7 linked regions of the Coturnix japonica genome follow. The protein of the gene in region 4 binds, or shares a complex with, the protein of the main gene of each other region. Links are inferred from orthologs where the notes say so. Each region holds a gene or a part of one and is shown on either strand. Other genes may lie near its edges. The genes, in order: PRPF8, LSM5, RBMX2, SNRPD1, SF3B5, GEMIN4 and CWC15.

Region 1 (4,219 bases), on a different chromosome or scaffold from region 4:
AGTGAGCAGCTGATTAGCCAGTCGATACAGCGTGGACATCATAGGCAGAGTGAACTGCCAGCGCTGGTAGGTAGAACCATTCACATACCTGCAGAGAAACAAAGCATAGGACACTAATTTTGCAGCCACAAAACAACTGGTCTTCTACCTTTCTGCTATTTGCAGAAAATACGAAGGATAGATAACTCTTGTCCCTCTCCAGGCAGAAAAATAAAATGTACAGGCTTGTTGAAGATCTCCATGGACTACATCTGCCAGTTCCCCTCCATCTCCATTATCAAACTGACAAGATTCAAGAGCCTCCAGTTTGTAAACGCACTGTATATTTAATAAACTCAAATAAAAGCTAGATGATCCAGGTTTTCACTCTTATCATGTGTCAAGAAACATCAGTTTTACCAGTTACCCATGCAGTAACCTGCCTGGACAGAGAGGGATTGATTGCCTTCCCTCAGCACTGAAGACAGAGGGATGACTACAGCAGTCAGATTCTCCCTCCTATCCTTGAAAGAAGGTTTTCTCATCCCACCAACACCATGCATAGACCAATATTATATAAGCAAAAGTTATGCACTTTTACATACATTTAATTTATGTAGTGCATGAAGATTTTAGTGCTTATTTTCTTAAAGCCCCACAGTGAATTGTGTTACCAGGCAGGCACATACTTCCTGTTGTCTTTCAGTGGCTGGTGGTCGTAGAACCAGTCCAGTACTGGGGCATCTTCCTCCGGATCCAGCTCAAGCTGAATTGCTTCCAAAGGCTCCACATCGAGAATGTTATCAGCATAATCCAGAGGAGGTTCTTCATCATCAAATGGGGGAAATCTCATTCTCTTGAAGTGACGTCTGTCCCTCTTCTCTCGCCTCATCATAATCCACATGGACCTGGCAGAAACCAGAGACCATTACATTACATGCTGCCTTTATTGTGGATGTGTGGTTATTCACTCATTGTGTCCCCCCAGAGTTAAGTAAAAAGCACTTACCCCCATTGTGCAATGTACACTGGTTCTATAACCCAGGGAATCTCATTGACAAAAGAGATGGCTCCTGTGATGTGATACAGGACTGGAACATCTCTGATTTGCTCCCAGGGCATAGGCATGTTCTCCAAGAGCTTCAGAACAGCGTGAGGCATGTACTTCAAAGCACTACAACCAGAAATCAGGGAAAATTACAGCTGGAAGGCATCGCCAGAGAACAATTACCTGTCTGCAGCAAGTTCAGTTACCTGTATACCTCCCACTCATAAAACTGCTCAGCTAACCTGCACATAAAGGCCTTCTGTGATGAACCCACAAGCCTTCTTAACTATCCTTCTGCTTCAGATTCCACTACCAAAAGGCTTTTCCTACTGGTTGGCTTCAGAGAGATTGCTATGCATTAAAAACATTCAGTAATAATAATACTAAAAAACACCGAATGAGTTTTTATGGGTAACTACATGAACGCAACAGACCCTGCTTTACACAAGACAGTTCTCTGAGCACAAACAACACAGAGACACCCACACGACACTTTAATCACAGGGAAAAAAGGCTGATTAGGTCACAATCTCCCCCCAAAACCTCTTCTAAATGATATTTTGCCTTAAGAACTCCAAGCAAACACTTCATCATCTCATCCTCTCCTGCACCCCACTGCCACCCTTGTGCTGTGATGCTGCTGTCTGAGCTCAGCTGTCCCCAGAGCCCCATTCTGAAGGCACCGCTCCTCATGGGGAGCTCCGTACCCCAGATAGACCCGTTTATCGTGGCGGAACTTCCTGTTGGTCATATCGCCGTGATCGCGGATGATCTTCCTGACGTGCTCGGGGGGCATGTCCTCCTTCTGAGCGTCCACGAAGCCGAATTTCCTCTTCTCGGCATAGCGCTTGGCCTGCAGCTGCTGCCACTTGCGGGCTGCGGGGACACAGAAGTAACGGGATGAGGTGAGGCCGGTCCCGTTGGGCGCGGTGCGATGGATCCAGGCCGTACTCACCTTTCTCCTGCAGCTTCTCCTCAGACATGTAGTCAGGTAGCGGGGCCATCGGGGTCGGTACCGGCGCGCAGCCGCCGCGGTACGGGAAGACGGCGGCCATGACGACACACCTGTGGAGGAGGAATCACAGAATGACCCGGGTTGGAAGGGACCTCAAGGATCATGTAGTTCCAACCCCCTGCCTGGCAGGGCCACCAAACATACACCTTTACTAGATCAGGTTGCCCATGGCCCCGTCCAACCTGGCCTTGAACACCTCCAAGGACGGGGCATCCACAACCTCCCTGTGCAGCCTGTTCCAGGGCCTCACCACTCTCCTAGTGAAGAACTTCCCCCTGACATCCAACCTAAATCTTCCCTCTTTTAACTTCAAACCATTTCCCCGTGTCCTGCTACTGTCAGCCCTTTCCAAGAGTTTACTCCCCTCCTGGTTACAGGTTCCCTTCAGGTATTGAAAGGCTGCAATGAGGTCACCCCGCAACCTTCTCTTCTCCAGGCTGAACAAACCCAACTCCCTCAGCCTGTCCTCATAGGGGAGGTGCTCCAGCCCCCTGATCATCTTCCTGTCCCTCCTCTGGACCCTGCCCAAAATCTCCATAGAGATTTGAGGAACAAGGGGCTCAAACCGGGATCACGGCTCCCTCCTCCCCCCTCCCGGTCCCTTCCACATCCCCGCGGCCCGGCCCCCCCCGCACACACCGGTCGCTGCGACGTCCCGCACTCCCGCACCACAATGGCGGCGCAGCCCACCACCACCGCGCCTGAGAGACCCGGATGTGGGTGGGGTGCGCGGCTAGAAGGCTCGTCCAATCAGCTTTCGGGGCAGCCTCACAGACAGCGGGGATAGCCAATCAGAGCGCGGGGAGGGCAGGAGGCGGGATCAAGTGCGGAAGAGGAAAGGAAGCTGTGTTTAGAGTACACTACCGGTTGAATGCCTATTCATTTCCGGTCCCGCCCTCTGCCGATTTTGATTGGTGGAGAGGGATAGCGGTGACAGCTCGACGCCGGCTCTGATTGGACAATCAGATACCGTAGCTATGGGGCCTAAGAGGCCTAAGGGGCAGATATGGCTGTCCCAGCTATGGGCCCTAAGGGGCAGATATGGCTGTATGGGGGTTTCCTCAGGCAGCCTCCCCTTTGTACATGGGTATCCCTTGTGAGAGAGAGAGAGAGGCCCCATCTCTGTCCCCACAGGTTCCCATCCCAAAGCTGGGCCCTGTATCCTTCAGTTTGGACACACAAGCCATACCCACAATGTGTTCCTATACAGCAGGCTGTATGGAGCCAGCACTGTGAGACATCCCTTAGGGCTCAGAACAACGTCCCCAGTGTGTGGCAATGGTGTGACAGCAGGAACGTGGTGACAATGGCAGCCTTGAGCAGCAGTGGCTGTGTGGGCACAGAGCTGCTGATAGAGGCACCCCCAGCAGCTCCACAGCCTTCAAAAGCAAATTGGGTGTAAAAAGTCCTTTCCCTTTAAAGCCTTGAGCTGATTTGTTTGCTGTTTATTGAAAGCCTGTGTTAGTAAGAGCTGCTGCTGCTGCTTGAGAGCGTTACACCAAGACTTCTGGTTCCTCATAGATGCCCATATCTAACCCATGTGAAACATCCCATTCACAGGAAGCAACTATCACACACCATCATCCTGACCTGCAGCTCACGTGCTCCCACACTCACTTATAGGGAGTTAATAGATCTGGGAACAAAATAACACTAGAAAAGTTCCAGTTGTCTGAAGTTAGCAGCCTGTCCCCAAGGATGGCACTGAAGCTCCCACTGTCCCTAGTCCAGTGCCAGCAGCATCTGATAAGGACAGGTCCAAACCTTCATCTCTCACCTGGCACAGTCTCCTCTGTGAGGAATTATAGGTGCAGGATTTGGCTTTAACCAGCCCTGGACTGAAGGGCAAAGCCTTGGAGATGCCTGGTGCTGTCCCATGGGAAGTGCCAGAGGTAGAACAGAGTCCCTTAGGCAATAGGACCCTGCAGGGTGCAGCACCTAAGAGGTTAGAAACACACAGTAGTGTTTGCACGTCCAGAAAAGCAAAGGGGAAACAATTCTCCCTGCTCCCTTCTCAGGGCTGCCAGAGCCTTCAGGGCTTCTCTGAGCAGCTCCTGGTTGTTCAACCACATCATCCATAGGTGCTGGAGAGCAGAGCCCCCAGTGTCTGATCCACTAGCACCTCCTCTGCCCAGGATCCACAGCCACAAGTCCAAGCAACACTGAAATAGCCATCC
Region 2 (4,093 bases), about 40 Mb from region 4:
CAGTTTCCTCAGGTTTCTAGATACTGCCCAGTCACAGAACGTGGAATGACTGCAGGAGTTTAAATGCCAGATGTAATTCTTGATGTAAGACTTGAAGAAAAGAGTTTGAATACCAGTCGTTTGATTGGATCAAATGGCATTTTATATACTCAGTCTCAAATAAATAAATAAATAAATCATTCCTGCAACAGCCTCGCCAAGATTTAGTTAGAGAGCAAAGGAGGAAACGCAACGAGAGCACAGAATACCTACGAAACACAGCGGGCCTTGAAGACACACTGAGCGCCGGTAACGCACAGCTGTTGGGTGGCCCCGTCCCCTCCAGACAGCCCCGCGGAACCGCTCCAGCCCGACCCCGGGCCCCCCACAGCCCGCACCGGCGGGGGATCGCAGCAAGGGGCTCGTAACCGGCCCCCAGCCCGCTGCAGGCAGCGCCCAGCCCAGAACCAGAGGCACGCTCCCGGGGCCCAGCGCTCACACCCCTCACCTGACAGCCCTTCTTATGGTGGAAGCCCACTACCACGATATGCAACACCGGGCCCCGCGGAGGGGCGGCCGGCGGCGCGCCCCGCTTCTCCATGGAGCCCGGCGATGGCCGCTCCGGAGGATACCGCCCAGGCCGGGCTGTCGCTCCGCCTCCTGGTGCCGAAGGCCGAAGGGACGGACCCCAACCGACTGCGCTTCCGCAGAGCCCGGCGAGGGGAGGCGGAGCGGGGCCGCCCTCTTCCCCTTCGCCCTGCCCCCAGCCGCGCTGTGTCCCGGCCCGCCCCGCCCTCCACTCTGTGCTCTGTGCGGTGGGCGCCGAGCGGGAGCGTGCGATGAAACTGATATAGGAAAGTGCTTGGTTTTATTAAAATTAGATACATTAGGGGGCAAAAGATAGGCTATAAGGAACAATCCAGAACTAGCAAGCGAATGATAAGAAGGAAGGGTAGAGCTGCAATCAAGCAGAAGCTCTTAGAAATAAAAGAATCCTGCTGGAATTTTCTTTCTCAGTGTATATCTAATAGATACCAATAAAAACTCAGCCATATATACCAGAGCTGCTCTCAAACTAACGCCTCCTGTTTTATTATGCTGGCCCATGACATCAGAGGTGGATGTTGGTATGGCAGTAGGGGCTACACCTTCCTGCCGTTATATTCCATTATACTTTGTTGCCTTGTGACCGATGGCAGCAGAAGGGCAGTCAGACAGGCTGCCACCTGACATGGCAGTGTGTATAAACAGGAGCGGAACTGAATTCCCATTGCGGTCGGAGCCCAAAGGAGAACACGGCGGTAGAACGAGCGCTCTGCCTGCCGCTACTCAGGGCTGCGTCCCGCCCGCCACAGCCTCTACTTCCTCAGGAGGCGGCAGCCATTGGCCAGCTCTGGCGGCAATATGGCGGCCAACGCGAGCACCAACCCCTCGCAGCTCCTGCCGCTCGGTGGGCAGCGCTGCCGGCGGGTTCTCGCGTGGGCTCGGGCGGGGAGGGAGGGAGGCTGTGACCGGGGTGGGAGAGGCTGCAACAGGGGCTAAATCGGGATCTATGAGCGAGAAACTAAATCGGGATGTAACAAAATTAATTCACCCCTCTTCGTGTTGAGGGAATACGTGCTCCGGGTGTAGCGTTGCTGTTGTTTCCAGTCGGTCGGAGATGATGGAGGGTACCTCTGGGCTGATTGATTTCCTGCAAATACACTAATGCACTTTTGTTGTTTTTAACATCTACAGAGCTTGTGGACAAATGTATAGGTTCTCGCATTCATATCGTGATGAAGAGCGATAAGGAAATTGTTGGAACTCTGCTAGGATTTGATGACTTTGTCAGTATCCTTTGGTGGGTGTTATCTGTGGCCATTAGCTTCATGGGGAAAATCATTTCGTTTATTGTTAAGAACATTAAGCTGTTTGGTATCGGTTTTTTGCTCGTTAGTGGTTTTTGTTTGTTTTTTTATCGCTAAAATCACAGTTTGGTGTAAAATAAATTGCCCATCTCTATACTGCCCTTGTGAGGCCCCCAGCACAGGAAGGATGCAGAGCTGTTGGAGCAGCTGCAGAGGTGGGCTGTGAAGATGATCAAATGCTTCTGTTGCTGGAGGTGTACAAGGCCAGGCTGAATGGGCCCCATGGCAATCTGATCTAGTGGGTGCAGCCTACCAGCAGCAGGGGTTGCTCTGTATTTGGAACTGGGTGGGCTTTACAGTCCCTTCAAGTTCTATGAAAAGAAATCTGGGCCTTATTTTCCTTGAAACTGAGCTTTCAGATATGGTGTTAGAAGATGTTACAGAATTGTAAGTATTATTTTTGTCTCTCATTGCTATTCAGACTTGGGTTTCCTGAGAAAGAATGCGGTATAAGGTCTGTGCTATCACAGATACTTATAAACTGAGCAGTTTTGAATTGTTATTGAAAAAAATGCCAAGTTTTAGAGGGCAAATCTGTGTCTTTATATGCTGAACAAAAAAATACAGCAAATCTGTTTAGTTGCCAGGTAGCTTTCCCTGCCTAGTGGGTCAGTGCATCAAGATGATGTTGCAGTGTTATTTCCAGTAAATGTCATCTTAATATGTGGACTTGCATTGGTGCTGTAATCAGAACTTTATTCATTGTTGATGATTGCATGCTCATATTTTTTTTTCTAATATTGCTTCAGTGAGATCACACCTGAAGGCAGAAGAATCACAAAACTAGACCAGATTTTGCTAAATGGAAATAATATAACAATGGTAAGTCATCACTGTAAATAGTCTGCTTGTGTTTCTTTACCTGTAAATCTGATTGAATTCAACTACTTGAGTAGTTTCTAAGGCATATGGTTTATGAATGATGCTGGGAAAGTGATCTTATTGCTATATTTCATATATTTTATGGTTTAAAATGCATGAAAAGAGGAGCATGGGCATGACTATAGTTTTGGTATATGCTTTTTTGGTTTTCATAAGGTGTGTGAGGGAATCTTTGGACGAGTTTGGTTGACAAAGTGGCTTTTGACTCATGAGTGTCTGTGTAAGTCTGTGGGTTGGGATACATCTGCAGTTCATCCATTATGTATAGGTGTGTTTGCAGCAGCTCAGATACTTATAAGCTTGTTAAGTTACTTGACTATTATTAATCATTATCATGTGATGCCGGATGCTCTGGAAAAAAATAATAAGGTGGAGTTTTGTTGGACTATAACAAATCAGAAGCACTTTCTGGTTGTTACTCGCTGATGTGTATAGATCAGTACTGAAACAATACTGTAGTTAGTTGAGCATCACTAAGTGAATTCTGCATCTTTGTAGATACTTTACCACAAAAGCAGACTCACAGTACATCATTTGCTTTCCTGCACAGATGGGTGCAAAATCTGGACTTCCTGCATAAGGCAGTTCATGATTTTGTTAACAAGACAAGTGGAAGGCTGACTTGAGTCTATCTGTTCTGTGTGAATGGGGAATAATCCCCATATTGCTATCTCACCCTTCTGAGTAAAAGCTATTTTGACTTAATTTCAAAACCTTTTCTTGCTTCGGTTATTGTTCTGCATCTTTAATGCATTGTGCATGTTCTGACTTCTTGTGTGGGTAAAATAATTATTTTATATTATTATTATTTATATTATTTTAACAAAGGAGTTCCTAAAGAACATACATTTTTTTGTCCTTGTTACTCATTCCAAGGTGAATCTTGAAATTCTACAGTTTGTTTTTAAGAGCATTTCAAGAAGCATTTCTTCAACTGATTCTTCTCCAGACCATTGTTATGCTGAGAAGCTTTTTTGCTCTTCCTGACTTTTAGTGATAAGCAAAGCCGCTATATGTATACATGTAAGACCAAACCTTTCTATAGACAGTAGGAAACAAGCCAGCAAAGTATTTTCCTGTGAATAAAAGACTTAAGAGTAAATATAAAAGGAAATATTAAAAAGGTAAACAAAGGTAAAGGGGAAAAAAGATAAAAATCATTTATATTTTCTTAATAATGAACAGCACACTTCCAAAAGAGAAAGACCCAGGGTGCTTTTGAGTCAGATTCAGTAATTTTATGGCACAGTTGTAACATGTGCCCTTAAAAAAGGCGCAGGATCTCCAGTCAGAAGCATGGCTGGGTTTTGCTAAATATGCGT
Region 3 (4,073 bases), on a different chromosome or scaffold from region 4:
ATTTTTGCTTGACTTCCTCTTTGTTCACATGGGCAGCTCAGAGGTGGAGGCACATCAGTATTGGGTAGCTTTCTTTGGTCCCATTTTCCTATAGGTCCTTGACCCACAGGACTCTTTCAGAGCCACCTCTTGGTTAATGAGTTGGCTTTACCTTCACAGCTGCCCTGCTGAAGCTGGCCCAGCGTAGCAGCTTCCCTCGCTGGCTCTTCTATCACTTGAGTTTTGAAGTTGGAATCTCACGCTTTAAGCTGTGCTGTGTTGCCCCTCCAGCATACACTGGAATGGCTGAAGGCCTCCAGAAGGGCCTAAGCCTGCAAACATGAGACTCCCATCTGTCTGCAGAGGGCACCTTCCATTTACTCTCCCTGATCAGGCTGGAGCTGCACACTGCCCTGTCTCCATGGCTCTCGGCTCTTTAATCCTTATTGTTTGCCTGGTTCCTCCCCCAGACAGAGCTCCATGCAGGAACGCCGCTCTCTTTGCCCTGCCTCCTTTGTGGATACAGAGCATCATTTCAGTGTCCTCATACAGCACAGCATTAGGTGGGTTGGTGTGTTAGTCTGTTCTGACACGAGCAGTGCTGTGTGCAGTTTGACAGGGATGATGGCTGGGTACACCAACATGGGGCAGGTAAGTCACCGGGCTGGGGCCTTTCACCCCTGTAGCACAGCAATGAGCAGAGCAGCAGCACAGCATCCTGCAGCAGCAATGGCTGCTCACGCCGTGTTGTGCCCCATAGGTGCAGGTGTGGGACACGGCCGGGCAGGAGCGGTTCCGGAAGAGCATGGTGGAGCACTACTACCGCAACGTGCACGCCGTGGTCTTCGTGTACGACGTCACCAAGATGGCGTCCTTCACCAACCTCAAGATGTGGATCGAGGAGTGCAACGTTCACGCCGTGTCCCCCCTGGTCCCCAAAGTGCTGGTGGGGAACAAGTGTGACTTGAAGGACCTGATCCAGGTGCCGTCCGGCATGGCTCTCAAATTCGCCGACGCTCACAACATGCTGTTGTTCGAAACCTCGGCCAAGGACCCTAAAGAGAGCCAGAACGTGGAGTCCATCTTCATGTGCCTGGCCTGCCGGCTCAAGGCGCAGAAGTCGCTGCTCTATCGCGACATGGAGAAGCGGCCGGGCCGGGCGCAGAAGCTAGAGCCGTCACGTGACGCCCACGGTAAAAGCGCGTGTCCGTGCTGAGCGCCGACCAATAAAGCTGTGCGGAGCCCTCGGACTCGTTGCTTTGCTTGGCGCGCATGCGCGGCCGGGGCGGGGGCGGAGGCGGGGGGGTAAGGGGGGCGCATGCGCAGTGCGCGCCGCCGCCGCCATGAAGTAGGTTTGGATGGGGGCTGGGTGAGGGGGGGGTGTGCGACCGGCCGGTGCTAACGGTGCTAACGGAGTGCATCGCCCCCAGCCCGCTGACCAAAGTGAAGCTGATCAACGAGCTGAACGCGCGGGAGGCGGAGCTGGGCGTGAGCGAGGCGGTGTCGTGGCACGCCGAGTACAAGGACAGCGCGTGGGTCTTCATCGGTACGTGTAGGCCGCGATGGGGGGACGGGGAGGGAGGAGAGAGCAGGGCTGTGGTAGGCCCTGTGCTGGGCTCCGTGCTGGGCTCCATGCTGGGCTCCGTGCTGGGCTCCGTGCTGGGCCTCCATCGCTGCCCTGTCTCCCCCCGCAGGCGGGCTGCCCTACCAGCTGACAGAGGGGGACGTCATCTGTGTGTTCTCGCAGTAAGTTCCTACCTGCTCCATCCCCATCTTGCTGTGCCCCTCCAGCCCTGCTCTGTGGCTGCTGATGGTGTGTTCCAGGTACGGGGAGGTGGTGAACATTAATCTGGTGCGGGATAAGAAGACTGGGAAGTCCAAAGGGTTTTGCTTTTTGTGCTATGAGGATCAGAGGAGCACCGTGCTTGCTGTTGATAACTTCAATGGGATCAAGGTGAGTGATGGAGCTGTGTGGCTGCAGCAGCTCCTGGAGCGCTCAGAGCACATCAGAGAGAAGCTCCATCGGCTGCTGGCCCCACAGCACACGCTTTGCTGACTACCTGACTCCTGTCCTAGATCAAAGGCAGGACGATCCGAGTGGACCACGTGGCCAACTACCGGACTCCCAAGGACTCCGATGATTTAGATGATGTCACAAAAGCCCTCCATGCAAAGGGCTGCGGAGTGAAAACACCACCTCATACGTCGTCAGATTCCTCCTTGGAGGATGAAGACACGCCAGCCCAAAAGCAAAAAGGTGAAATGCATTTCTGCCCATCTTTGCCCTGGGTGGGAGGATCTGTGTGGGCTACAGGGACTCTTAGCTCAGCGTACAGCAGGGATAGGGATCCTCTTGAAAACAGATGCAACCCGAATGTCCAGGCTTATCCTCTGTGATCTGCGTCACACTGCCAGTATTTATCTATGATCATTCACCCCCTGCCTCTGGAGATCCTTATTTTGCAGGTTATAGTGGCACTCTTCCTGGAGAAAAGGAGTTGGGCTGGGCTGCAGGGATGTTGCAAGGGGGAGGGGGCAGGACAGTGGGGGACAGGGAGAAGAAAGGCTCCAATAAAGCCTTTCTCTACAGAGCTCTGGTGCTCTGTAGCAGAACTGGTGGGGATGATGCTTGCAGGACTGTCCATCTCTAAGGATGACCTTTTTGTTTCAGATAAAGAGAAGAATAAACATGAACGGCAAAAGCAGAGCTCTCAGGCTGCAAAGAGAGCAGCACCTGCCGAAGAGGCACATCCGAGAATCAAGATTAAAAAGGAGAAGGAAGATCCTGGCTACGAGCGATATGCTGCTGGTGGGGGTCAGCAGTCCTGCAGTGAGTCTGAGAGGAAACACGTGAGCAGGACGCAGCGAGATGAGGAAGAGCAGAGACACCAAAGGTCGTCGGGGAGGAGAGGGGAAAAGAGCTCCCAGGAACACAGAGGGCAGAACAGCTCACGGGAAGAGAGAGGAGAGGTCAGCAGGAAGGGTGAGGGACACAGCAGCTGGCGAGAAGAGTGTTCTGAGGGAAGCAGATCCAGGCACCGGCGGGAGAGCAGCAGCAGAGAGCCCCATTCCAAGCACAGGGAGCGTGGATCCACCAGAGATTCCAGCCGTCACTGAGCCCTGGAGTGAGCACCTTCTGGGCCACAGCTGTGCTCTGTGAGCTGCACCGGGAGCCTGTCTGAAGCCTCCTGCTATGGCCCTAAGGGTACCACAGCTGTGTCTCGTCTCACACACACCACTCTGACCGGTTCACTCCTCAGACAGGTTGCTCTCAGTGCTGTGGGCTGTGATGTGGGCTCTGCTGCTGCCTTGCTCGGCCCTTCTGTGCAGTGGCATCACTCAGACGGTTGTGGAGGGGCTCACGGCACAGTGTGGGCAGTGGGGTGCTGAGCAGCAGGATACGGACACCGAAACTGCCCACGTTGTTCAGGGGGAGCGTCCCTGTCTGCAGTGGGGCGGTGGGTGCTTGCAGGCGGGCACGGTGCTTTGTGCCCCCAGCCCGTCCTGCTTCCTTTGTTTATGTGATGGATATCAGAGGCTGCTGAGCCATCGCAGTTCATGGCGTTTTTTGTTTTAAACTCCTTTTAATAAAAATCGATCCTTTAACCAGAGGAGATGACTGGGAGCACTGCTTGTGTCCGGTTGTGCTGTTTGGACTGAGCATTGATGGCAGCTGACACAGAAATGGGGAGCGCACAGCAGTGGATCTGAGCTGCGCTTTGCTCTCGGGGTGGTTCCGGTCGGTCCCGTGCCTGCAGCGCTCTCCCGTCTCCTCCCCGCCGTTCTCGGGCGGTGCCGCTGGATCCCAATTGCGGGCCGAGCTGCCGGGTCCGCCCGGCTGGGGGGCGCAGTGCTTCCCGTTCCGCCGCGCTTCCGGTTCCGGGTGGAGTTGAGGCAGTGTCCGGCCCGGCGCGGCGGCGCGCCCCGCCATGCCATGTCCGCGCTGAACTGGAAACCCTTCGTGTACGGCGGGCTCGCCTCCATCGTGGCCGAGTTCGGTGAGCTGCGGCGGGTACCGGCGGGTACCGGCGGGTATCGGCGGGTACCGGCGGGTACCGGCGGGTATCGGCGGGTATCGGCGGGTACCGGCGGGT
Region 4 (4,218 bases):
CCAAATAATTAAGCATAAATTACAGGAGAAATGGCAAGCAGTTGCTTTAGAGCACGATTACCTTTAACTTATTTCTGGAAAGACACACTGATTAACACTGCTGGGCAAAACTTTTACTGCCTGAAGACACAAACTTTGTGGAGTTTACTGGATATTAATTGTTAACGGCGCAGAACAAAACCAGAAGCATTCCCTATTCTGTTAGGCTTTAAGGGCTTTATCCACAGGAACACAGCCTCAGCTCCCTCTGCATTCTGAAGCCCCTTCAATTCGGTTCTCCAGCAGATTGTTTGTATCCACTGCCAAGTGAGATTTCAGTCCAGCACCGCTCCTGAGGCTGCTCTATATTTTCTTATTAGGCTAAATACAAAGTTACACACAGAAACCAGGGAAACAGAGCAGACATTTTGAAAAGAGAAACTGTGCATCCCATTGGTGCTGCCTCTGAGAATGCCATAGGTTAAGATTTACTCACACTTAAAGACGTTTACACTTTAAAACAGATGCATGAGAAGCTGTGTAAATAACTTCTCATGAAAGGAGACTACAGACACAATGAAGGTACACAAGGCAGAGTTCGGTACAAACCCTCAGAGATGAAAGCAATACAGAAATTAAGATTTCCAATCACATGCCTTCAGAGCGAGAGCACGAAAACACAAAGTAAAACAAGCAGAGACTGGGAAATCATGCACTCACCTGCTTCTCTTTTCTTGGACTTGACTTTTGGTTCAACATCTACTAGCAAGGTGTCCAGGGGCAAACTGTCTGGTAGGATGAAGTATCGGATGTTATTCCCCCGAATGCTCAATGTCTCCAGCTGTACAGGCTCCCTGTTCTTCAGCGTCATTTTCACAGCCTTGAGATGAGTATTCATACTGACATCCACTCCTGAAATAACACAAGGCTGATTTCAGGGGTGGGAACACACAGGATGACTCCTCTTTGGCTATTATTAACTGTGCACGTGCTTCAAGACTTTGCTAACACACGCTTCTGGATCTGTGCCATTTGTTAATTAAGCCTCTTAAGTGGAAGAAGAAACTACATCTTTTTTTCCTCTATTAATTATGCTGATTTATCAGCTGCTGCCCTCAACACTGATATATTTCCAAAGGAAGAGCCACTTACCACCAGCTGTAGGGATCTGTTCCTAGGTCTTAAGTCATAGCAACACTAAACACTTAAAATGATTCCTCCGGACAACAAATAAACTGCCACTTACTACAAAAGCATAATATTTGTCTTTTTTACTCCTTTCAAAAGAAAGAAAACGAACTTTTGAGTAGAAAAATAACACTGCGTTTCCTTCTAAGTACAACCATGATCTTCTGATCAAACACATCTAACATCAGCATCAGAAGCACCAACTGCAGGTGGCACCGTGGCTGCAACAGGCTTCGTACACCCATGTACAGGGATGACTGTCATTTTAGAACCATGGATGGCACTGCAGGGTTTTACAGGTTCTTAGCACAGCATGAGAGAGACTTTGCTCAACAGCGAAGGCTGTGAGAGTACAAGGGTAGGAGGCACAGAGTGCTGCCACCACAGCCAGCTTCTAACAAAATGGACGGATCTGGCTGCAAAATAACGTGCTTTTAACCCTTACATCTCAGTAGATTGTAACCATGTTCAGCATTTACCATTTATCTGTGCTACCGTTAGAAAAATATCTCTCTGCCAGTGACTCAGTGGTGACTTCTTGATGCAACTACAGTGTACTGCAGCTTTACCAATGAGATCACAGAACGGTTTAAGTTGGAAGGGACCTTCAAGTTCCAGCCCCAAAATGTTCTGAAACATAAGTGGATAGGCTGTATGACCACTGCCCTTTGATACAGCAGTGACACTGTCTCACAATGCCTGCATGCTGCTGCAGTAATTTCAGATTACCACACTTACACCAGCCACGCCAGCACCGGTTTCCTTTACCCCACACAGCTCAGATCAGCCTGGGAGGCTGCTGGCACACCGTACCTGTGATGGTGCCATGCACCTGCGTCCCGTTCTTCAGCTCGATGGTCACAGTCTCGTGACTCAGCTTCATCAGAAACCTAGGAATTAAGCACAGAGTGTTTGCTGTCACACTAAGCCTTATGTCCAACCACATGCTGATACGGGGAACCGATCGATGTACATCCTAACGCAAACGTTCTCAGCTGCCATGAACTGCACTGAAGGTGCTCCATGGGGCAAAGCCAAAGCCCCAAACGGCGCCCAATTGCCAGGGGCTGGAAACGGTGGCACCGGGCTCAAGCAGCGTCGGGACAACGCTTCCAGTCACAGGGTTTGTGTTTTGAGCGCCCTGCGTGAGTTGGGTTCGGGATCCCTCGTGCATCCCGTCCAACTCGGGCTGCTCTCTGACCACCAGCTAAGCAGCAGCCATTTTGGATCTCGGCACCGCGTGAAGGCGCTTCCACCCGGCTCCGCCCCCAACCCCCCGGGGTGGTTTCCCGGGCAGCCCCGCTCGCAGGCCCAGCCGCTCGCCGCAGAGCCCAGGCCGCAACGAGGCCCCGACAGGCCGGGCGGCCTGTGTGTGGGGAGGGGGAGGCGGCCTGCGCGGGCTCCCCGCCGCCTCTCTCCGCGATCCGCCTCCATCCGCTCACCTGACGAGCTTCATTGCGCCGGCGGGACGGCGCGGCGGCCGCGGGGCTTTCGGCGGGCAGCGGCGGCCGCCCCTGGGGGCACGAAAAGGCCTCGGCGGAAGCGCCGCGAGCGCGGGCGGACAGGAACGCGGCCTCCAACGAGCGCACCGAGCCCCGAGAGATTGAGCGGCCGCCGCCGGCTGCGATCAATGGGCGGAAGCGGCGCGGCGGAAGGGGCGGGACGCAGCGCGACTGCGCGGGGCTGAGGGCGGGCGGGCACTGAGGGGATGCGCTGCCGCCATTTTGGAATGGTGGGCTCGGGATTATACGTATCTAAGCACTGTAGCTGTGTGCAAATAGTCTAGTCCGCACCAGCGATGCTTCTACGTTAAGCAGTTGATAAGGAGCTCAGGCACACAAACGCAGCGGCCAGGATCTAGAAAAATCAGACCTTTTATTATCATTGATGAGTACACTGTTGTGATTTCTGCAATACAGACTCTTTTTGTAAAGCACTGAGATCTGGCTGCCCTCCAGCTCTGAGAACCCACGTTAACCCACGTCTCTCCCTCCATCCCTACACACACACCACAGCTCTTCTTTTCCACATGAAATCTGTTATTTTATGTTTTGCTTTAAACAAACCGCAAAGAACCAAGTTTGAGAGGGCAGCTGCCCGAGAGCCGTAAGAACCATTACATACTGAGTTTATGGTGTTCCTGCACTTTGAGTCTATGACAGAGGTGACACTGGTAAATGAAGTCAGAGAGGAGTTTCCAGTTAACCACCAATTGGTATTCCCAGCACAGCATCGAGAAGCAGACAGAGGCATGGTGAGTACTGATGTTTATGTGCAGGTTATGCTCACATAGAACCAGAAGCCTCCAGCAACATTCAAGGTTAAAATGAACAGATAACTGCAAAAGTCTGTACACAGTTTCAGTCACAACACAGTGAAACACTGGAGTATCAGTGCTTTGTGTTCTAACCTCAGTAACAACAACTGTGCTAGCTCTAAGATTCTACACGTTTCTCCCCCCATTTACATTTTATAACTGCAATCTGAATATACAGCTGTACTTACAGGAAATATTAAACAATGTGCAGCGCCTTAAGCAAGTTTCACGGCTGGTTTTGAACAAACCATATAAAATAAGTGACAAAATAGTTTAAAATTGGTCCTCAAGTAGGATTACTTGTTTTTTATACAGCTTGGAAGCACTAAATTTAAAGACACACATTTATTGTTAACCAGCACATGTTATTTTGTAGCTTTTTAAAGAAAAAAACCTTTCCTTTTAAAGTGTGTTACATCATGCATGAAAAGCAAGAAGCTGCTCCCAAGTGCAACATGGCATTAGGGTGACACCTCCTCCTCTGATCCATACTCCTTTTTTTTGTGAGTTATTCCAACAACATCAAGAACAGAAGCAGCTGACTAGCAAAAACAATACCAAATTCACCTTTGCATTGCAACCATTCTTAAAGTGATGGAGAACTTTGGGCCTTTAGCATAAGGAAGGTTTGATAAACCCTGCAAGGAGTTTTACATTCTTTGATTTCATTTACATCCATTGAAAGAAAAGAAAAAAAAACCCAAACCTGTATTTTCAAGAGCTAACTAATGAAT
Region 5 (2,434 bases), on a different chromosome or scaffold from region 4:
GTTAATTTATTGTCCTTATTTAATTTCTCTCACAAGAGATCTTCATTCATTTTAGGCTACCACAACTTCCAACAATTTTTTTGCACTATTGTACTTGCAGAATAAATGAATATGGTTAAGAATAGAGGAATTTCTTAAATATATATATATGTATATATATATATATAAATGACACCCTTCATTTCATCACCTGTGTGGGCTTTTATTGCAGTTATCGTTTAAAGTAATCCTTTCCCCTTTTTGGAGGGGCAGCTATGTCTTTTTCATTCAAAGAGCCTACAGGAAACGTGAAAACACGGCTATACCTTGAAGGGGACAGTCACTACCACCCTCTATTGGTGCATCTGCCTCATCTACTCTGTTCCTTTTGATCTTGCAGCAGAAACCCACAGCTCCCGTGCAATGAGTACGGAGTCGGTACAGCTCTGACACCCAGCGGCCACTTCACTCTCGACCGGCTCCTGAATTCCAGACAGTTTCAAACTCGGCTTTGACTGATTGTTGCTTAGAAGATAGATAGTTTAGGGTATTATATTGTTTTATTGTTTTGACACTGCTTTGCATGGCCTTGGCTTCATAAGATGCTCATTTATGAAGAAGCGGCCTTGAATCATCTGGATTAGATTTCCGTGGGTTTCTTTGGACTATACAGCATTTACAAAGAAATAGCTTGAAGCATCCTCTCAGAAAATTGCTGGCTACGTGTCTTTCCTATTTAAAAGCAAATAATTAAAGTCAGCACTCCCATGTGACAGCATGTATTGTTCCACACTTATTAAATTTAACATGGATTTTAAAACTAGAGAAGAAAAACTGCTTATTTGATGAATAATAGAATGTATTTCATTCCCAACTTTGACCAAGTTTGATAGGTGATACAAATTATAATTTACAAGTTTTATATCTGATTATTCTATGATCAAGAAAGACTACTTATTTGATGAATCATAGAATGTATTTCAGTCCCAACGTTGACCAAGTTTGATAGGTGATACTAATTATAAGTTTTCTATCTGCTCATGAGTTTAATATCCACATGAAATATTACCCACATCAACAAAAGAAAAATAATTTCCAATGGTAACATTTGATCCTAGCTTAAACATAGCCCTTGTGCCTGCCCAGCTGCAAAGTTTGCCTTTGCCCACAGAATCATTAAGGTTGGAAAAGACCACTAAGGTCAAGTCCATCCATCAGCCCATCCCTGCTGTATCACTATGTCCCTCAGTGCCACGTTCAATTGGCTCTTGGACACCTCCATGGTCCAACATGTCCAATCTAGGACTACACCCCCCGACATGCCTTTATAAACCCGCATATTCTTCCCCCCCCCCCCCCTCATCCGGGATAGTCGGCGAAATCCCCCCCGCTCTCCGTTATGGGAGCGGAAAAGGATCCCTTCGTCCTGTGGCGTCATTTCCTGCCGCCATTTGACTTGCAGGGGCAGCGCCATGACGGACCGCTACACCATCCACAGCCAGTTGGAGCACCTCCAGTCCAAGTACATCGGGACGGGCCACGCCGATACCACCAAGTGGGAGTGGCTGGTCAACCAGCACCGCGACTCGTACTGCTCCTACATGGGCCACTTCGACCTGCTCAACTACTTCGCCATCGCCGAGAATGAGAGCAAGGCTCGCGTCCGCTTCAACCTGATGGAGAAGATGCTGCAGCCGTGCGGGCCGCCCGCCGACAAGCCCGACGAATCCTAACCCGTTGCCCTGCACACCGGCTCCGGGCTGGCTGTGACTCCACACGCCGCGGGGAGATGGTGGGAGCCGCCCCGATCCTCGTGTCCACCGAAGGGAGCTGCAGGGAGAAGGAAGCTCTGTGTAACGCCCTCTCTTGGACACTTTCGTTACGCTCAGTTGCACGGCTGTTCGCCCTTTGTGGTTTTTTTTTAATGGGAAATAAAATCCGCTGTCTGTTTCTAACGTGTTGTGTGGTAATCAACAATAGCAGGACACGGGGAAATGGTTTTAAGTTAAAAGAGGGAAGATTTAGGTTGGATGTTTGGGGGAAGTTTTATTCCTAATGGAAAATGTCAAAGTAAAGCCTGGCTAAGGTTGTATGTGAGTTTACCAGTGGCTTTTTTGAAGTTGGTGACCTCAGAATTTCTGAGCAATAAACGCCTCATACTCTTTACCAAGCCTTATAATCTAAGCTGCTGAAGATGCTGCAGTAAGAACAAGTGCATGCACTCCTGAGGTCACATTCAAGCCATAATATCCATCTGAAGAACTCAGGAATAGATTTTGTTGTTGCATGTACTACAATGAGGGCAAAGATGAAATGATCCTGAATCAAATGTAACCTGCTACATATGTGGGGACTAGTGCTGTTTGCAAGCCATTGTAAACAATGTGAGCAACAAGTGTAAGGCACATGGGCAGAGCTGAACGCCTCCTTCCTCCAGGCCATCTCTATTATATGA
Region 6 (4,186 bases), on a different chromosome or scaffold from region 4:
AGTACTAGGAGATACCTGTCTGCTATCAGCCAAATCTCTCAGAGATGATCAAAGTAACGCTGATCAGATCCTTAGTTTACATTTCTCACAGTGGGAATGCAATGAAGTTGCAGATAGCAGGAAACTATAAATGAGAACAGCCTGAATATGCCCTGGCTTCACCTGACTGAGGCTGATGTTATTTGTTTTCTCTTTAAGTTGCCAAACATTGAAGCACTGATGAAAAAGGAGAACCAGAAGATTTTAACGCCTCTGGTTAGCTTGGACACACCTGGCAAAGCTACAGTGCAAGTGGTCATTTTGGCTGATCCTGTGAGTAGCATCAGAAACAGTAATAAAATCAATGTCTCTTTCCTGTTTATCTGCCTGACCTGCTGTTGAATTGGGTTTAGGATGGCCATGAAATCTGTTTTGTGGGAGATGAAGCATTTCGAGATCTGTCCAAGGTGGATCCCAATGGTGGCAAACTGTTGGATGATGTAAGTAATGATCTGTCTTTTGTTTTCATCCTGATCACAGCCGCCCATGGAATCAAATATTCTTTGCAGCAGAGCAGCTTTCAGTGCCTGTTTTCATTACTAATATACAAGAAACAGTTTCTTCATCAGGCTGGCTTTCCCCCTGGATTATAGAGCCTGATAATCAGCCTGTTGTTGTGGGGCAGGGTGGTGAAAGTGGGCAGCTCAGTGTTTGGAATGGCAGCTGAGTCAGCCAAACATGCTCCTATTTTCCTTTGTTCAGGCCATGGCAGCTGACAAGAGCGACACGTGGTTTGCTGCCCGGAATATGAAGAAGGTGTCTGCATAGCTGGAGGAGGAGCTGGGCTGGCAGGTCATCATGCCTTGGTTTTCATCTGAGCTGTGCTGTCCATCCCATGGGAGGGCTCAGTCACGTCCCATGCTGTTCTGTTGGTTCCTTTTCAGCTTGTATCTCTTTCATTTCAAGCTCCTCTTTATTTTCAATCAAATATCAGGTGCAACTTCAGACGTGAGTGTAAAGCAGGGAGGATGTTGGGCACGTGGCTTCCAACGCTGGAGCTGCAGGTGAATGCCTCCTAGTGCGGTTGCACTTGAAGGAGAAGTTGCCAGGTTGATTAAAGTATCCAGATCTGTCATGAATGAGCTGTAGCCGTCCTGACTGCAGCGCAGGGCTGAGATTGGTGTGGTAGCAGCAGCTGCAGTGCCCGGTGCTGTCGGTCAGGCTGCTCGTTATTGATCTCTTGATGAAAAGCAGCAGCATTAGCAATGCCTGCAATGAATAGTCTAAATGGGAACAGTTCTCGACGTGCCGGTGTTGCTTTGGCGTTGATGCAGTCAATGAGTCGGGGTCGGATCAGTGCTGACGGTGATGCCGTTGTTGGAAATGAGCCTTGATGTGAATAAATTTTTATGTGAATTTTATGCAATTTTATGTGAATTTTATGCAATTTTATGTGAATAGAAGCACCGCGCGGCTGTGTGCGCAGCGTCCTTCCAGCCGGGGGCAGACACCTCCGCTCCGCCAGGGGGCGCTGTGGGATCGCGGCGGCCGCCTGCTCTGCCGGAGCGGAGCGCGGGCTGCGTTGTCTGCTCCGTTGGCCGCCATGGAGCCGGGCAGCGGGGAGCGGGTCGGGCCGTGGGGCGTGTGCGAGGAGACCGCCATCCTGCACGGCGGCTTCCTGCTGGCCTCCAGGCTCCTGCAGCCGCGGCCGTTGAGGGAGCTGCTCAAAGCCGAATGGCCGCTCGTCGGGCCGCCCATCACCGACGCGCTGAGGGAGATCGGGGCCCGCTGCCCTTCACCGCGGCAGCACGGGCTGTGGAAGAAGGAGGCCGTGGCCATCGTGTGGGCCAAGGTGCTTCTGCCCGCCCCGCCCGCCGCCTCCCTGGACCAGGAGTGGAAGGAAGACGCCTTTTTCTCCGTGGGAGCGATGATCCCCGACGTGAACCGCACCGTTCTCTTCGAGCTGGTGAAGGCCCTGGGCGCTCCCCGGCTCTTCGTGCAGTTACTGCTGGCGCTGCCCCCCGACGTGAGCCGGGCTGAGCTGCGGCACCTGGTGCAATATGTCAGCCACGAGACGGCCCCGTCGGATGTCACATTGCTCATGGATGTGTGGTGGGAGGCGCTGAGACAACAGCCGGATCCGGAGGACAGCACGGTGGCTGCATTCGGCTCCCTGGTGCGTGAGCACGGCTGTGAGTGCGCTCTGGATGACGGCTTGCAGCCCCCAAAGAGGTTCAAGGGGGACCCCAGCTCTCTGAATGGCCCTCCTGCTGCAGACAGCCTGCTTGGGGTCCTCATAGAGGGGTTAAAGCAAAGCTACGGCAGCATCACCTCACCCCGCATGAAGTGCTACGCCCTGGGCAACCTGGTGGAGCTGCTGTCTGTGTTCACCGAGCTGAAGCCACAGGGCAGCCCCCTCCCTGTTGCAGAGTACCTGGCCAAGGTCAGCTCAGTGGTCGGCCTCTGGAGCAGTGACACTGAAAGCCAGCACCACCACAGCGAGCTGGATGAGAAAGTGAAGGAAGCTGAGAGGACCATGAGCTTCTCATCCATGGCCAAGCTGTCGCATGAAGAACTCATAGCTGGCTTGGACTTTCTTCACAGCTTGTTGTGTGCCTGGGGAGAGGAGCTGCGGGGTGTCCTGAACAGCTCAGAGAATCAATGCTATGAGAGCTACTGGCTCCTTGATACTCTTTCCACCTTCAGGAAGATCCTGGTTCGCTTCTCTGAGACTGGAGACCTGAGTGAGGATGAGATGCGTGTTGCATTACAACTGGCACAGACAGTTGATGGCTTTCTCACAGAGATCAGCACCACCCAGAAGAACAAGGATTTGGACACCAGCCTTGAATCCTCAGTTGCCATGATAATCATTGAGCAAAAGCTGCACCGGCACATGGAAGTGTGCTCCATTTTTGCTTCTGAAAAGACCTGGGCCTTTTCAAAGGGCTGGGTTGACTGCCTTGTGAAAAACAAGGTTCTTTTCCAGAAACCAGAGCTGGTTTGGAAATTGCTGGAGACTCTGGTGAACTTTGCCACATCCTGTGAAGGCCGTGAGGCCCGGGAGATGCAGATGCAAATGATCAAAGCCATTGTGGAGTGTTACAGTGAGCTTCCATTAACAGACAAAAACAAAGTGATCTCGGGTGTCCTGGAGGCTTGGGGTGGGCCAGGGCTCTCCCTGAACTTGCAGGTTGTCATGGATGGGTTCCAGGAGGACCTCAATGTGACTTTCAACCAGATCACTAAAAGCTTATCTGATGAAGGCATTACCAGGGCTGTGGCTGCTGTGGCTAGGCTTGCTCTGCTGCACCCTGAGGCCACTGTGAAGCAGATTTGTAGTCTTGCTGTAGTCAACCTAGGAGCACATCAGTTCCTGGCGCAAATCCTCTGCTCTTTCCCAGCTCTGAGCTTCCTGGAGACTCATGATGGTCCAGGCAGCCTGGTGGTACGGTGCCTGAAGGAGGCAGCATGGGAAAAGCTTTCCTCTGCAAGGGAGGAGGAACAGTTTCTTGAGTTTTTGGCCTTTCTCCTGCAGCCAAGTTCAGCTGCCCCACTCGTATCACCTGCAGAAGTGACCAAAGCTTTTGTCCTTCCCTATTTGAAATCAGACTGTGCTCAAATTGAGCTGAGCCTGCAGATCCTCAGTAAAGTTTTGGGAATACGGTCCTACCCAGAAGAGCACTGGATCAAGTCCTGCCACCCGTTCCCACTTCTCCTCAGCCTCTGCAAGCTTCTAGATGGCTACACAAAGTACTGGCATCAGCCTAAGGACCAGCTCTTCCCATCCCTGGAGATCAAAGACCTGGTGCTGAGTGTCCTCAGCCAGCTCTGTGAGGTCGTGACTCCAGAAACTGCCTCCTCCCCAGAGGTTTGGGTCCAGTCTCTGGCCTGGCTTCACAGGAAGGTGGCATCGCTGGACTGGACCATTGGTCTCCGACTGAAGAAGTTTTATGGAGACCACTTCAAGAATGAGGTCCCAGCGACGCTATTTGAGATCTGCACATTCCCTGAAGATGAATGGACATCCCAGCCTTTGCCAGCCTACGGGCCGGGCAGTGGACTGCTGGCATGGATGGAGTGCTGCTGTGTGTCCACTGAGCTCAGAGAGACGATGCTCTCACTCCTCATGGTCAACGTGGACAACCCCGAGGAAGTGAATCTCTTCAGCAAAGGCTTCCTGGTGGCCCTCATACAGGTCCTCCCT
Region 7 (4,184 bases), on a different chromosome or scaffold from region 4:
AATAACAACATGCAGCAATTCCTTTCACCTTGCTGTGAACTCAGGTTTGGAAATAAGAGTGTCTGAAAGAAACCCAGGCTCCAGTCATTAGAAATACACTGCGTGCACAAGCTGTCTTTATGCTGAAGCATTTCATTTGCTTTTACAATTAAAAACTTGAATTCAGAATCCCTGACATGGCTGCAAAAATCCCCCCCAGGCCTTTTGTCAAAGAGGCACGGGAGAGTGGGACTGAAATACCAAATCTTTCTTGCAATTATGCAGCCCTTGGCAAATTAGCAAAGACAACTTTGTATTTGATATTTGGGAGAATGAACTTAAGATGCTTAATGCCCCTTCACACACACATACACACTCACTCAAAGGGATTCGTTACCACACACACATCGTATATTCCTGTATGTATTTCTTCCCACACACTCATTTCAGAACAACAGACTGGTGCTCCACACTCCCGCTCTGTTTAAAGAGACAGACCACCAGCCACTTTTCCCTTAATAGCACATTTTGTGCTGTTGCTTTTGGTGATCTCTGAACATCCCACCTCCCGTATCCATGTTACCTTCAAAGTTATTCAAATGGGTGGAAGGGAAGCAGTGAAAGGGTAAATATCTGCACTAAGAAAGCAAAACCCAAGCAACAGTTTAAGCTAGAAAAAAAGACTATTTTCAGGCTGACACAACTCAGTTAAATCCTGTGGCATGTTGACTCCAGATTTCATGCTATCTTAAAAGAACATAAATTATTAAGCATTCCAAACACAGGATAGTATTCATATAAAATCCCATTATCTTTCACACCAGTTAAAGCAACAGGCTCTTCTAGAACCCTTCTAGTGTTTAACATCAGCTCTTCCAATACTTACTAATGCCTGAGTGCTGTTACACATTGCCCTGCCTCTTCTTAGTGCTCTTCCCCAGGTTCTTTGCCAATATATGACATACTCAACTTCATACCTCCTATCCCATCTTGTAAGTCACACCACCTTTCTAGCTCAGCTGTCTCTGTATGTTCCCAATGCTTTTCTTTTCACTCCATTGCCTGAAATGCTTAATCTGTAAAGATTACCTTCTCCTGATTCCCTTCCACAAGCAGTTATTGACACCACTAAAACTAAACCTTCCAAATCAGTTGCAACCCACTCAATCTCCTAAGCCTGCTTCTGTGTCTGCTTAATGTCAAGCAAACAAATATCTAACGTGAAAGAAATTCAGAGTGTTGGTCACATCACAAAGAAAGAAAACAACAAAACAGCTCCAGGCTGCTTTGCTATAAGACAGACAATAACGATACTTACCTGTATTTGATTTTAGTATGAGAGGGAAGGTCTCTGCTGGAATACTGCTTGGATAGCTGACTTAAGTCTCCTTCACCTTTTCCTCTCCCTCCTCTTGCAGGCTCAAACGTTGGCCTCGCTGCTGTCGTCATTTTAGTTACTAGAGTCAAGGGCAAAAAACAGTCATTACTATAACTTAAAGTGAAAGCCATTCACCAGAAGCTACGTCATTCTTGGAACTGCTGCAGCAACAGCAAATCCCACTACACAATACAAATTATCAACTGGTGCATGAGCCTTAAAGCTTAAGAGCTTCTTTTACTGACAGCTTCTTTTCCAACATGCCTGAAAGATGATAGAGACTCAATCAAGAATGTGAGGTCATGTTTATAGAAGTGGATAAAATGCCAGGAGCCAGTCTCCTATCCTTATATCTTGGTAGAAGAGTAATTCTTTCCCCTCTGGAAAAAAACACAGGATCTAATAATGAAATCACAGAACTGTGGGGGTTGGAAGGGACCTCTAGAGATCATCGAGTCCAACCCCCCTGCCAAAGCAGGCTCCCTACACCACGTCGCACAGGTAGGCGTCCAGGCAGGTCCTGAATATCTCCAGAGAAGGAGACTCCACCACCTCCCTGGGCAGCCTGTTCCAGTGCTCCGTCACCCTCACTGTAAAGAAGTTCTTGTGCACATTCGTGCAGAACTTCCTATGCTGTACTTTCATCCCATTACCCCTAGTCCTGTCCCAACACACTACTGAAAAGAGACCAGCCTCACCACTATGGCTCCCATATAACTGATGCCAAGAAGTGCTCAGCACTGCACAAAGCAGCTGGAGGCCACGCAGACCCAAACCATAGAGCCAAAAGTTTAGGGCAGTCCACCAAGAAACAAACAAAACAAAAGAATCAAACCAACCAACCACCCTGGATGACCCATCAGTGCCATCTTCAGTCTGTTAAACGAAACTACACACATCCATAAGCACAGCCTAAGGACTTAAATAAGAGACATACAAAAGGTGGTGAGGCCCTGGCACAGCTGCCCATAGAGCTGTGTGCCCCATCCCTGCTCAAGGCCAGGTTGGATGAGCCCTGTGCAGCCTGAGCTGCTGGGGGCAACCAGGGGTTTGCTCCGATCAGGTTCCATCAGCGCAGCATTGGAGCAGCCCCGTCAGTGCCGCACAACGCCGGCTCGGCTGAGCCGCCTCCATCGGCGCTCTCCCAGGCCCGTCCAGGCCGCCCCACGGCCTCAACCTCCCTCCCGGTGTCCCCCCAGGCTGCCCACCACCCCAGGGCCGACCCTCCACATTCAGAAGCCCCGATTTAATCCCTTCAATCCCCCTTCTCTGACCTCGGGGTCTCCTCCCGCTGAGCAGCCGGGCCCTACGCCACCGCCATCATCCCGCCCTCTACCCACAAGGCGCCGCGCAGCCACCACAGAGCGGAGCGGCGGAAGGAGGAACTACCATAGAGATGGAAGGCGGAAAAACTTGTTACCTCAGTGCGGAATTGAGTCCGCCATGTTCGATAATGAAGTGGAAATAGACGCTGTTGGTGCCTGAGTGGCACCTGCTGTCCGCCCTGAGGTACAGCAGCACTGCGTGTGAGCTGTGCTTTAAAGTCGTGTATGACTGTGAGCAGTACACACACCCTGCTGTGCTGCCATAGAACCCTTGTGCTGCTGCTTTTCTGTGTGCTTACAGAGTCATCCCAGCTCCTCCCGGCTGCCTCCCACCCCGCTGGTTCTTTGGCTGTTTGTGCTCAGTCACAGCTCCTGCTCCACTGTCTGCCTTTGCTTCCTGATGGCTGCCAATGGCTTTGCAATGAGGAAGAGACCTTGTGACTATTCTCAACAGAGAAAAATCCACGAGTCAGCAAGAATTCCCTGCAAAAATAAGCACAGAACCTGAACTAGGCCCTTCCTAAGCACCCAGGAGAGGCTCACAGGGGAACGAGCCATCCCCCTGCAGCCCACAGGCACATCTCGCATCTCTCATACTGTGTCCAGGTGTGGAGCCCTCAGTACAAAAAAGACATGGAGATTTTGGAAAGGGTCGAGAGGAGGGAAACGAAGATGATCAGGGGACTGGAGCACCTCCCCTATGAGGACAGGCTGAGGGAGTTGGGCTTGTTCAGCCTGGAGAAGAGAAGGTTGTGGGGTGACCTCATTGCAGCCTTTCAATACCTGAAGGGAACTTACTCCCAGGACGGGAGTAAACTCTTCGAAAGGGCTGATAATAGCAGGACTAAGGGGGACATGTTTTAGAGATTAAAAAGAGGGAAAGATATTTTAGGCATCCTCAACGCGCACTCGCACTCTATCATACCAGGGGGAAGTTCTTCACTCAGGAGAGTGGTTAGGCCCTGGAACAGGCTGCCCAGGGAGGTTGTGGATGCCCCGTCCTTGGAGGTGTTCAAGACCAGGTTGGACAGGGCCCTGGGCAACCTGATCTAGTAAAGGTGTATGTTTGGTGGCCCTGCCAGGCAGGGGGTTGGAACTACATGATCCTTGAGGTCCCTTCCAACCCGGGTCATTCTGTGATTCTGTGATCTCCGTATGCAGACATGGAGGAGCCCACTGTGCAGCAGTGGAAGAGTCCTGGAGGCGGAGCAGCCCCAGGCCAGGGTGCAGCCTGTGGAGAGGAGCCTACAGTGGGGCAGGAGGGCTGGGGGAGCTGCTGCCCGTGGGGCTGTGCTGGAGCAGTTCCCCACCCACAACATGATGTCAGCTGAAAGGCACTCAGCAAGGGAGGGAGGAGGGTGCTGGGGGCATGGGTGGCACTGAGGAGCACACAGTTCTGCCGCTCTCTATCACAAGCTCGTCCCTGAGGATGAATTATTGTTTCTGCAGAGTCAAATGGTTTCTTTGAGCTCTGACAGAGCAATTAATTTTAGCCATGTGAT

Evidence for each region.
Region 1: SNRPD1 (region 4) and PRPF8 share a complex: the UniProt entries of both Homo sapiens proteins name them as parts of the U4/U6-U5 tri-snRNP complex. The link is inferred for Coturnix japonica from reciprocal best matches to the Homo sapiens genes SNRPD1 and PRPF8.
Region 2: SNRPD1 (region 4) and LSM5 share a complex: the UniProt entries of both Homo sapiens proteins name them as parts of the U4/U6-U5 tri-snRNP complex. The link is inferred for Coturnix japonica from reciprocal best matches to the Homo sapiens genes SNRPD1 and LSM5.
Region 3: SNRPD1 (region 4) and RBMX2 share a complex: the UniProt entries of both Homo sapiens proteins name them as parts of the minor spliceosome. The link is inferred for Coturnix japonica from reciprocal best matches to the Homo sapiens genes SNRPD1 and RBMX2.
Region 5: SNRPD1 (region 4) and SF3B5 share a complex: the UniProt entries of both Homo sapiens proteins name them as parts of the minor spliceosome. The link is inferred for Coturnix japonica from reciprocal best matches to the Homo sapiens genes SNRPD1 and SF3B5.
Region 6: SNRPD1 (region 4) and GEMIN4 share a complex: the UniProt entries of both Homo sapiens proteins name them as parts of the SMN-Sm complex. The link is inferred for Coturnix japonica from reciprocal best matches to the Homo sapiens genes SNRPD1 and GEMIN4.
Region 7: SNRPD1 (region 4) and CWC15 share a complex: the UniProt entries of both Homo sapiens proteins name them as parts of the minor spliceosome. The link is inferred for Coturnix japonica from reciprocal best matches to the Homo sapiens genes SNRPD1 and CWC15.

Annotation. Positions count from the first base shown.
Region 1 is NC_029534.1:4,156,542-4,160,760, forward strand, and holds the start of PRPF8 (pre-mRNA-processing-splicing factor 8), read right to left. Parts: upstream 2,801-4,219; 5' UTR 2,682-2,800; intron 2,093-2,681; 5' UTR 2,083-2,092; coding exon 1,983-2,082; intron 1,904-1,982; coding exon 1,735-1,903; intron 1,154-1,734; coding exon 989-1,153; intron 888-988; coding exon 669-887; intron 89-668; coding exon 1-88. UniProt on the Homo sapiens protein: Plays a role in pre-mRNA splicing as core component of precatalytic, catalytic and postcatalytic spliceosomal complexes, both of the predominant U2-type spliceosome and the minor U12-type spliceosome.
Region 2 is NC_029517.1:78,884,415-78,888,507, forward strand, and holds the start of LSM5 (U6 snRNA-associated Sm-like protein LSm5), read left to right. Parts: upstream 1-1,293; 5' UTR 1,294-1,383; coding exon 1,384-1,429; intron 1,430-1,716; coding exon 1,717-1,812; intron 1,813-2,248; coding exon 2,249-2,276; intron 2,277-2,638; coding exon 2,639-2,711; intron 2,712-4,093. Other genes in the region: late secretory pathway protein AVL9 homolog, read right to left, coding at 488-580. UniProt on the Homo sapiens protein: Plays a role in pre-mRNA splicing as component of the U4/U6-U5 tri-snRNP complex that is involved in spliceosome assembly, and as component of the precatalytic spliceosome (spliceosome B complex).
Region 3 is NC_029519.1:1,522,345-1,526,417, reverse strand, and holds RBMX2 (RNA-binding motif protein, X-linked 2), read left to right. Parts: upstream 1-1,273; 5' UTR 1,274-1,322; coding exon 1,323-1,327; intron 1,328-1,409; coding exon 1,410-1,525; intron 1,526-1,673; coding exon 1,674-1,725; intron 1,726-1,803; coding exon 1,804-1,933; intron 1,934-2,055; coding exon 2,056-2,236; intron 2,237-2,650; coding exon 2,651-3,096; 3' UTR 3,097-3,604; downstream 3,605-4,073. Other genes in the region: RAB33A (ras-related protein Rab-33A), read left to right, coding at 740-1,195; SLC25A14 (brain mitochondrial carrier protein 1), read left to right, coding at 3,914-3,977. UniProt on the Homo sapiens protein: Involved in pre-mRNA splicing as component of the activated spliceosome. As a component of the minor spliceosome, involved in the splicing of U12-type introns in pre-mRNAs.
Region 4 is NC_029517.1:39,382,146-39,386,363, forward strand, and holds the start of SNRPD1 (small nuclear ribonucleoprotein Sm D1), read right to left. Parts: upstream 2,801-4,218; 5' UTR 2,624-2,800; coding exon 2,610-2,623; intron 2,058-2,609; coding exon 1,981-2,057; intron 892-1,980; coding exon 700-891; intron 1-699. UniProt on the Homo sapiens protein: Plays a role in pre-mRNA splicing as a core component of the spliceosomal U1, U2, U4 and U5 small nuclear ribonucleoproteins (snRNPs), the building blocks of the spliceosome.
Region 5 is NC_029518.1:41,251,704-41,254,137, reverse strand, and holds SF3B5 (splicing factor 3B subunit 5), read left to right. Parts: upstream 1-1,398; 5' UTR 1,399-1,451; coding exon 1,452-1,712; 3' UTR 1,713-1,934; downstream 1,935-2,434. UniProt on the Homo sapiens protein: Component of the 17S U2 SnRNP complex of the spliceosome, a large ribonucleoprotein complex that removes introns from transcribed pre-mRNAs.
Region 6 is NC_029534.1:5,681,792-5,685,977, forward strand, and holds the start of GEMIN4 (gem-associated protein 4), read left to right. Parts: upstream 1-1,386; 5' UTR 1,387-1,399; coding exon 1,400-4,186. Other genes in the region: GLOD4 (glyoxalase domain-containing protein 4), read left to right, coding at 199-312, 393-479, 742-807. UniProt on the Homo sapiens protein: The SMN complex catalyzes the assembly of small nuclear ribonucleoproteins (snRNPs), the building blocks of the spliceosome, and thereby plays an important role in the splicing of cellular pre-mRNAs.
Region 7 is NC_029516.1:165,900,184-165,904,367, reverse strand, and holds the start of CWC15 (spliceosome-associated protein CWC15 homolog), read right to left. Parts: upstream 2,801-4,184; 5' UTR 2,778-2,800; intron 2,744-2,777; exon of another isoform or gene 2,632-2,743; intron 1,437-2,631; 5' UTR 1,429-1,436; coding exon 1,298-1,428; intron 1-1,297. UniProt on the Homo sapiens protein: Involved in pre-mRNA splicing as component of the spliceosome. Component of the PRP19-CDC5L complex that forms an integral part of the spliceosome and is required for activating pre-mRNA splicing.